2 linked regions of the Rattus norvegicus genome follow. The protein of the gene in region 1 interacts with the protein of each later gene in a pairwise test. Links are inferred from orthologs where the notes say so. Each region holds a gene or a part of one and is shown in the gene's direction. Other genes may lie near its edges.

Region 1 (3,748 bases):
TTCTAACATCCCAAACATCTGCGTCGACCTTTCTCCGTCTGAGAGTTTCCCAATGTGAGGTACCCAAATATGCTAAAAGTCTAACCCAAGAAACAGTGGTGAAGACTGCGTCAACAAGCTGACTCTGGCAAGCTGGCCACCAAGTACAAGGCCTGCTCCTAGGTGTTTATCTTACACTCTACGAACCTTTAAGAAATTCTATGCTTTTAAAACTGTGGTAACTTTTCTCAGGGGAGGCGGCTTTGACTGGCCAGCCCCAGACTCCAAGTATGAGGTGGGGCTGGTGATTGCCCTTTAGGAGTTCACGTCCATGCTCCTGGGAGGCCAAGGGCTCCGACATTGAGGAGCAGCTTTCTCTCAGTAGCGTTCTCTCGCCTTTAACCTCGCAACGGACCCTGAGTCTCCCTCCGCGCACCACCGAGGACAGGGCGGAGAAGAGTTGACCCGCATCTGAAACCCTCGTGTGGGAAGAGGATGCCCGGTGCCCAGAATCCGTAGTCCTCGGCACACTGGATCGGCTTGAAACCTCCTCCACACTCCGGAACTGGAGTGCACTCAACTGAGGAGACGCGACGCAGACAAAAGAGGAGGAGCTGCCGACCGCACCCTCTTCGCCTCCCCGCCTCCTTTGTTCCTTCCTAAGCCTTTATTGGCTGATGGTCCGCGGACCCGCGACCTTTTTTGATATTCTATTGGCTGAGGTCGCTGTCACTCTACAAGCGGCTCATTCGTGATTGGTCAAGGCGCCTCCCGGGTTTGAATCGTCTCCCCGGCTTGGGAGGGTTCTGCCAAAGTGCCACGTTGGGCCGGGCAGCGGGCTTGAGGAGCCGGCTCCCGGCGCCACCCGGGGCGCGCTCGCTAGGGCGCGGGCCGTTGGGCGGCGCGGGACGGCGGCGGGAGCTGCAGCGGGACCGGCGCGTCCCGCCCGAGGGTGGCTCTGGCTGAGGGTGGCGGGGTCGGGGGAGAGCCCGGGGCAGCGGCCGAAACGGCAGGGCGGCGGCAAAGCCCGCTGCCCCCGGACGTCCCCGGCGACATGCTGGCAGATAACCTTGTGGAGGAGTTCGAGATAGAGGATGAGCCCTGGTATGACCACCGGGACCTCCAGCAAGGTGAGGGCGAGGTCGCTGGGAGGTTGGGGGTGGGAATCCGGGGGTGGCAGGTGTGGAAAGTGCTAGAAAGTTCCTTAGGCTGGAGGTTTGGGATGCGCGGCCAGGGGCTTCTCGCGCTCACCTGGCAACGGATCCGCCCATCCCGACCTCAGAGAATAAGCGCGCGCGGCCCACGGCCCTGCGGATGCGCCACCCTGGCTGATGCTTGGCGCTTTAAGAAAGCGCTTGCGGAGGATGAGCGGATCCATCCCCTTAGTGGACTTCTGAGGTGGGCAGGGGTGAACCAGCTTGACTTGCTCTAGAAGTGAGCTGCTGACCTGGCTCCGGGTCGTGCTGCCCTGCCCGCCCCACTTCGCCTTTCATGGTCCGCAGACTCTGCAAGCCGCTGCAGGTGGTGGGGGGGCAGTACTGCTGTGCGGTACCCGCGCCATCACTCTGTGGGAATAATTTTTTGTTATCCCGTTTTCCAGAAAGCAGAAGCTAAAAGATTTAAGTGGATTCCCCAAAGCCGAATATGGGAGCGAGTATTTTTGATGCCACACACACTTGAAATGAGGAGTCTGTAGACACTTCAGATCTTAGCATCCCAATTTATAACCTACCCAGTGTTAAACTCTGTGTGTGTGTTTTAATTTATTACTTAGCCATCATTCATCAGAGGCTAGATGAAATTATTTGAGGGCAGCTCTATCATGTCCTTATCTTTGCATTCGGATTTTCAATGAAAAATAATCCTTCCTTGGACATCTCCAGAGACAATGTCAAGAGTGTCCCCAGTCTGAATCCAGTGGCCCATTTTCTTCCACATTCATAGTAGGATTTTGTGTTTGAGGACACCGATAAACCCTTAACACCCTGCTAGACTCCTTTAATTCCCCCAATAGCACCAGGTGCTGCAATAGTTACCTCAGGCTGAAGTGGATATTGTCGGGGAGACTAGGTATTCACTGTAGACTCCAGAGTAGACATTCTTAACCACCATACAGAGGGGTCCTCGGGAATCCTTTCAAGCATCCTGCTTGTGCTATTCTGTGTAATTATTCCCACTCCAAACTTTTCGTGAAAATTAATATCTTTTTGAGTTGGCTGTTAAACACCAGTGAATCTGACAGGGGCGGTGGGGGACGGGGGTAGTTTTGAGCTTGAATGACCCGTACTTAGAAAGTAGAAAAGGAAAACAGGTAGCTTTTTGGAGAGGTGGTAATTTGCTTTTTTTTTTTTAAAGTTTCTGTCTGTCTTGATTTCTTAATGTGCAAATGACCTAAGCCCAAACAGATCCTGTACTACTATAATTGAAGCTGCCTAGCAGCTACAGTGCCAGTTCGCTGTCACATTTCTCTGTGTCCAGAAGACAAGTTTGTTAGACATTTAGCCTACTTCACACTGGTCCCGTAAGGATTGATGACCTGCTTTGATACTTGAGGACTGAAGCAACCACGGTGAGATTGCAACATTTTATTATATGAAAGCAGTTCCTATAACCCAAGCAAGAGATTCTTCTTTACCATATTAAAGAAGAATGCAAAACCTTCAAGAACAGACCGGTCTCCCATATCTAACATCATATATAACACATCATAATAGAAACTTAATTTAGTATTTGTTGGCCTGAACTGAAGCTGTCACACAACAGCTCTCCAGTGCCCTGGTCCACCCATCAGCCAAATCCCCCTCCACAGGAGGTTATCAGGAACAGACAGTTGTAGTATCTCAGTCTACTGAGTGGTAAACAAAATATGTTTGGGGCTGTTTGTGGAATTCTTAACTTCTGATCTAGATGAAGGTGTCACAAGTCTGAACAAACCCTAACCTCTGGGCTAATTTACTACTGATTTGCATTTGGGGTTTCTTGTGTACTTTCCAAAGGTTTTTACATCTGTTATCACAGTGGACTTTGCCATGGCTTCCGTATCATAAACATATAAAGTACAAATGGAAGATATGAAATCCTGTTAGCTCATTAATATGCCCCTGAAAGAATGACGGCTGCTCATTTGAGCATCTGTTCCCCCAATTTTGCTGCCTTATATGTTAAACAGTTTTGCGTATATGGTGTGCTGGGATTGAGGCCAGGGCCTCAATGCATGGTAGGTAAGCAGTGTACCACAGAGCCAGCTTAGATCTACCTTTGAACAGAGTTTACAATTGTTTCTCAAGAGCATACTGTTTTTTCTAACCTAGGTATTAATGTAGGCAGTGACACCACTTGCTGTAGCCAGCTATTAGAGAGGAAGGGCTCTCACTCTGTGTGCTGTTCATGAATCTACTCACCAGAGACATCTGGAGATGCTAGTAAATGTACACCCTTGGCATTTGCTGCTAAGTAGTTTGGGAACAGCTCTTTCTCTGTGCAGATTAAGGAACTCTAGTCGTTTATCATGTGTTCTGCATGACCTTTATTAACTTATGTAGTAGATTCATATTGGATACATGGCCTAAAATGCTTTACAAAAATATTTACAATAGGCTGGGCCCTCCCACACCAGTCACTAATTAAGGAAAAAACCCTACAGGCTTATGTACAATCCAATCTTGTGGAGTTATTTCTCAATTTTGTCTCTCTCTCTCTGATGATAGTACTATACTGTGTGTCATATTGACACGCAACCAGCCAGAGTGTATGTGGAAGTCAGAGGAAG
Region 2 (3,748 bases), on another chromosome or scaffold:
CTTTACGTACATGCAGGCAGAACACTCAGACACATAAAAATACACATCTTGTAGAACAAACTATATTTTAGTACAAGCAGCGTTCTTGGGGCTTCTCTGTAGCCCAGATGATCCTCTGCAGTGAATCTGGTCTGTGTCCTCAGGTTTCCTAAATGCATTTGATACGATGAAAAAAATTCTGGGAGAATCCTTATGTGTCAATAAGACTGAAAAAGTTAAGATTTCTGGCTTATGGGTATTTTCTTTTTAGTTCTTACTGTCACATGTCTACTATGGCCTAAAAACAGTTCTCTAAGTGTAGCCTCAAGACCTAAGGATCTCTCATAGTTTTAGTATTCTTGCTCCTCTGCCTTCGTGCTGTTTTGCCATTATTTTAGCTGGTTTTTTGTTTTGTTTTGTTTTGTTTTCCGATTTGAGAAAGTTGATCGTTCAGTATGTTGACTCCTCATTTGTGGATTGTTTAGTCTCCCCAGTGTTTTGGAATTCCTCAGAACACACTTATTACTGGTATTTAAAACAAACTAAAAGGTAAGACTCCCCAGTACATGTGAATGCTGTCCTGGTTTTCTTAGATAACCATTTTGTTTCAAAATATTTGGATTCAAAATATTTTTTCTTTTCTTTCTTTTTTTTTTTTTTTTGAAATAGTCTCTTTGTAGCCCAGGCTGGCTTTTGCACTTAATAATTTTCTGCATGAGTTTCTTGTGCTATAATCACAAGCATATGGATCATGCTATGATAATTAATATTATTTTAGCTGTAATGTTTGTGGATGGCACAAAAATCAGTATCTACAAAGGATGTGCCTGAGAGATTAAGTATTCCTCTTCCTTGGTCTGCTGAGAACTCCATGTCATCCAGGAGGCAACCACTGTTAACACCTCTGAGAGTGATTTTTGACTCAGCTTTCTCTCAATTCCTTCCTGGTCTGTGAGATGTATGGCCTTTCCAGGCCCTCAGGACCTCAAATCTGGTTGACTTTAAAAACAAACATTTATATATGTGTATATTTTATGTACATATACAAAATCTCTCCCTATGGCCTTCCGGGCCGGGTTCTCATCACATCGCTTCCTGGATGAAGAACCTGGAAGGGTGAGGTGAGGGGCAGGGGTTGGGGGTGACAGAGAAGGGGACCTGAGGGACTGAGGCCAGGGGTTGAGTGGTGGACTGCTGTGAAGCACTGTAGGGATTCCTATTCTTATTTCTCCCACCAGGCCGCCCTCCAGCTCCGTCCAGCTCAAGCCTCTCCTTTCCTAGGGCCGAGACAGAGACAGAGAGATACAGAGACAGAGACGCCAAGGCACCAGCATCTCTCCCCCCCTCCCCATCCCGCCCCATAGCTCTGACGGACGTCCACTCTTAGCCAATGGTGCTCGCGAATTGCCCTCGGCGGGCCAATGGGAGACAGAGGAGGGCGGAAGCTTGCCCGCCCCCCACTCTAGGCTTGGTTGAGCCGTGCAGGTAGGTCTGGGGCCGGGGGAGCTGCCGTTGGCACTGCTGCCCCGGGGGGTGGGGGCGCGGCGGGTCGGGGTGATGGTGGTGCAGGGTGGCGTGTCTGGGCCGGAGGACGCCGTGGGGGGCGCCGTCGCGGGGCGGCGGGAGGTTGAGGGGTCGCGGGAGCCGGCGCCGCGGAGGGCCCTGAAGGCGGCCGGTCTGAGGACGCGGGGACGCGTGTGTGGGGCGCGGGGACCCTCGGCCGGCGCCCACCCTCAAGGCCTCGGCCTCCGGCCGTGGACCGCGGCGTGCCGGGCGACGAGTGGCCACAGGGCCCGGGAGGGGGGCACCGAGCACAGCCGGGGGCGCCAGGCCGAGCGAGGTGGGACGGACCGTGGCAGGACGGGAAGCGGCATCCCGCGGGCCGCCCCCTCCTGAGGCGAGTCGGTCAACAGCCACGGGCCCCGGGCCGCGAGCCCCAGCCACGGCCGCCCCCCTCCTAACAATGGGGACCGGGCCGGAGGAGTCGTGGGCCGCGGGGGATGGGAGAGGCTCCCGGACGAGGGTCCGAGGCGGGGGAGGGGCGCGGACTCGAGCTCGCTGGGATCTCGGCCCCGCGGTCCTGTAGAGCTGGGGTCCTGTAGAGCTGGGGTCGCGTCGCGGGGTAGTGTGTGGGGGTGCCCAGGCTCGCCTGAGAGTCGGGTCAAGAGTCAAACTCCCGTCCCCACCCCCCAAAATCCAATGAGCGCTAGGCAAAGTGATGCCAAGTGTCCCTAACCGAAGTGACAAACGTGGAGACAGCAAACCCACTCCAGAGCTTTATTTTTAAAACGGGGACATCGACTCTGATTTTAAGAAATTATTTTTAAAGAGGTGAGTGTGTTATTTTTGTGTTCCTACTCGGGCAAGCCTCCATTTTAAGTGAAGCAGTAACTGGTTAAGCTGGAATTTTCATTCAGGCCTAGGACATAGGCTCCTAGAAGGAGTCATTTAGTCCATTCTTCTGAGTCCCTGCAAACTTAACACCCTCCATCTTCAAAATTAATTCCTCTGGTCTGCTTTTAAAAATCTCTGGAAAAGAATGGTCTTTTCTTTTTTGCTTGTACTTCGGTGAGGAATAGATGCTACTTACTTTTTTAATGTAGTTTCAGCTCTGAAACAATTTTAAGAAAAGTTAAAAACTGGAATTGTCAGAAGTTTTTTTTTTTTTGTTTGTTTACCAAATAAAATAGTTGTACATCTTTTTAGATAGTTAATAAATTATTTTCAGTAGTGTTTATGAAATACTCTGGTAGTAATAACTTTTCCTTTAGGATTTTAGTTTTCTGAACCTTTGATAAGTAATTTTCAGTTACTTAAGATTTACGTTGTTCTTTGATATAAAATATATTTCTACACACACACACAGAGATAAACATATGCCCTTTACAAAGGGAATTTTATATTGTATCTTTTTCCTTCTTGGGGGGTTTTGAGACCATCTCAATAAGTAGCTCTCACCTGGCCCAGAACTCACTGTGTCTACCAGGCTGGTGTTGAACTGGTAGATAACAGCCTGCTTCAGTCTCCTCTGAGTGCTAGGACTAAAGTGCACCACGCCCAGCACTTGTACACTTTTTAAGCAACTAGTATTGAATGCCTTTCCCAGATAGATTAAGCTATTTACATATGCTATTTTTTCCATCTAAGTGAAAAAAATTCTTCCTTTTCAGATCTCCTTAATTCCTTATCCGTGGTAACTGGGGAATTACTTAGTCTCTTCCTGCTTATTTCTGAGTTGTCTGAACTATTCCTGACACTATGTATGCTATTTGGATGCCTCTTAAGGTAAGATATATTTGCTTTTCGTTATTTTTATTTTGTTATTTCATATATGTATTTTAGAATCAAGAATACTTGTTCCCGTGTGTTTTGAGTCAGGGTTTCAGAGTCCAGGCTGCTCTGGAACTTTGTAGTTTGCTGAGCATGGCCTTAACTTCATGTATTTGCTGCCTCTACGTTCCAAATGCTAGGATTATAGGTGTTTGCTACTAGGTCTAGATCTACCTAGAATGTTCTTGAACCTGTGGCTCTTCAGGATACCCATCCTTAGAACCATTAGGTTCTTAGGATTTGTTATTGCTGTTCTTGATTGCTGCTGTTCAGACATTAGTGAAGTTCTTAAATTAACTCTATAAGGATGGGTTCCAGTTTTTACTTATTATAGCTTACATCTTGTGAAATTATGTTCCACCTGGTAGATGTGTTGCCAATTCAGACCTTGAGGTCCATTTTCAAACTGGTACTTCAGAGTCATATGAACTTGGGCGTG

The links.
Region 2: the proteins of Cdr2 (region 1) and Kansl1 interact in binary tests that used the Homo sapiens proteins (3 or more experiments, as listed by UniProt). The two-hybrid records come from large-scale screens. The link is inferred for Rattus norvegicus from reciprocal best matches to the Homo sapiens genes CDR2 and KANSL1.

What each region holds. Positions count from the first base shown.
Region 1 is NC_086019.1:184,956,244-184,959,991, reverse strand, and holds the start of Cdr2 (cerebellar degeneration-related protein 2), read left to right. Parts: upstream 1-955; 5' UTR 956-1,033; coding exon 1,034-1,109; intron 1,110-3,748. Other genes in the region: Mfsd13b (transmembrane protein 180), read right to left, coding at 187-340.
Region 2 is NC_086028.1:89,866,311-89,870,058, reverse strand, and holds the start of Kansl1 (KAT8 regulatory NSL complex subunit 1), read left to right. Parts: upstream 1-1,438; 5' UTR 1,439-1,464; intron 1,465-2,639; exon of another isoform or gene 2,640-3,149; 5' UTR 3,150-3,264; intron 3,265-3,748. UniProt on the Homo sapiens protein: Non-catalytic component of the NSL histone acetyltransferase complex, a multiprotein complex that mediates histone H4 acetylation at 'Lys-5'- and 'Lys-8' (H4K5ac and H4K8ac) at transcription start sites and promotes transcription initiation.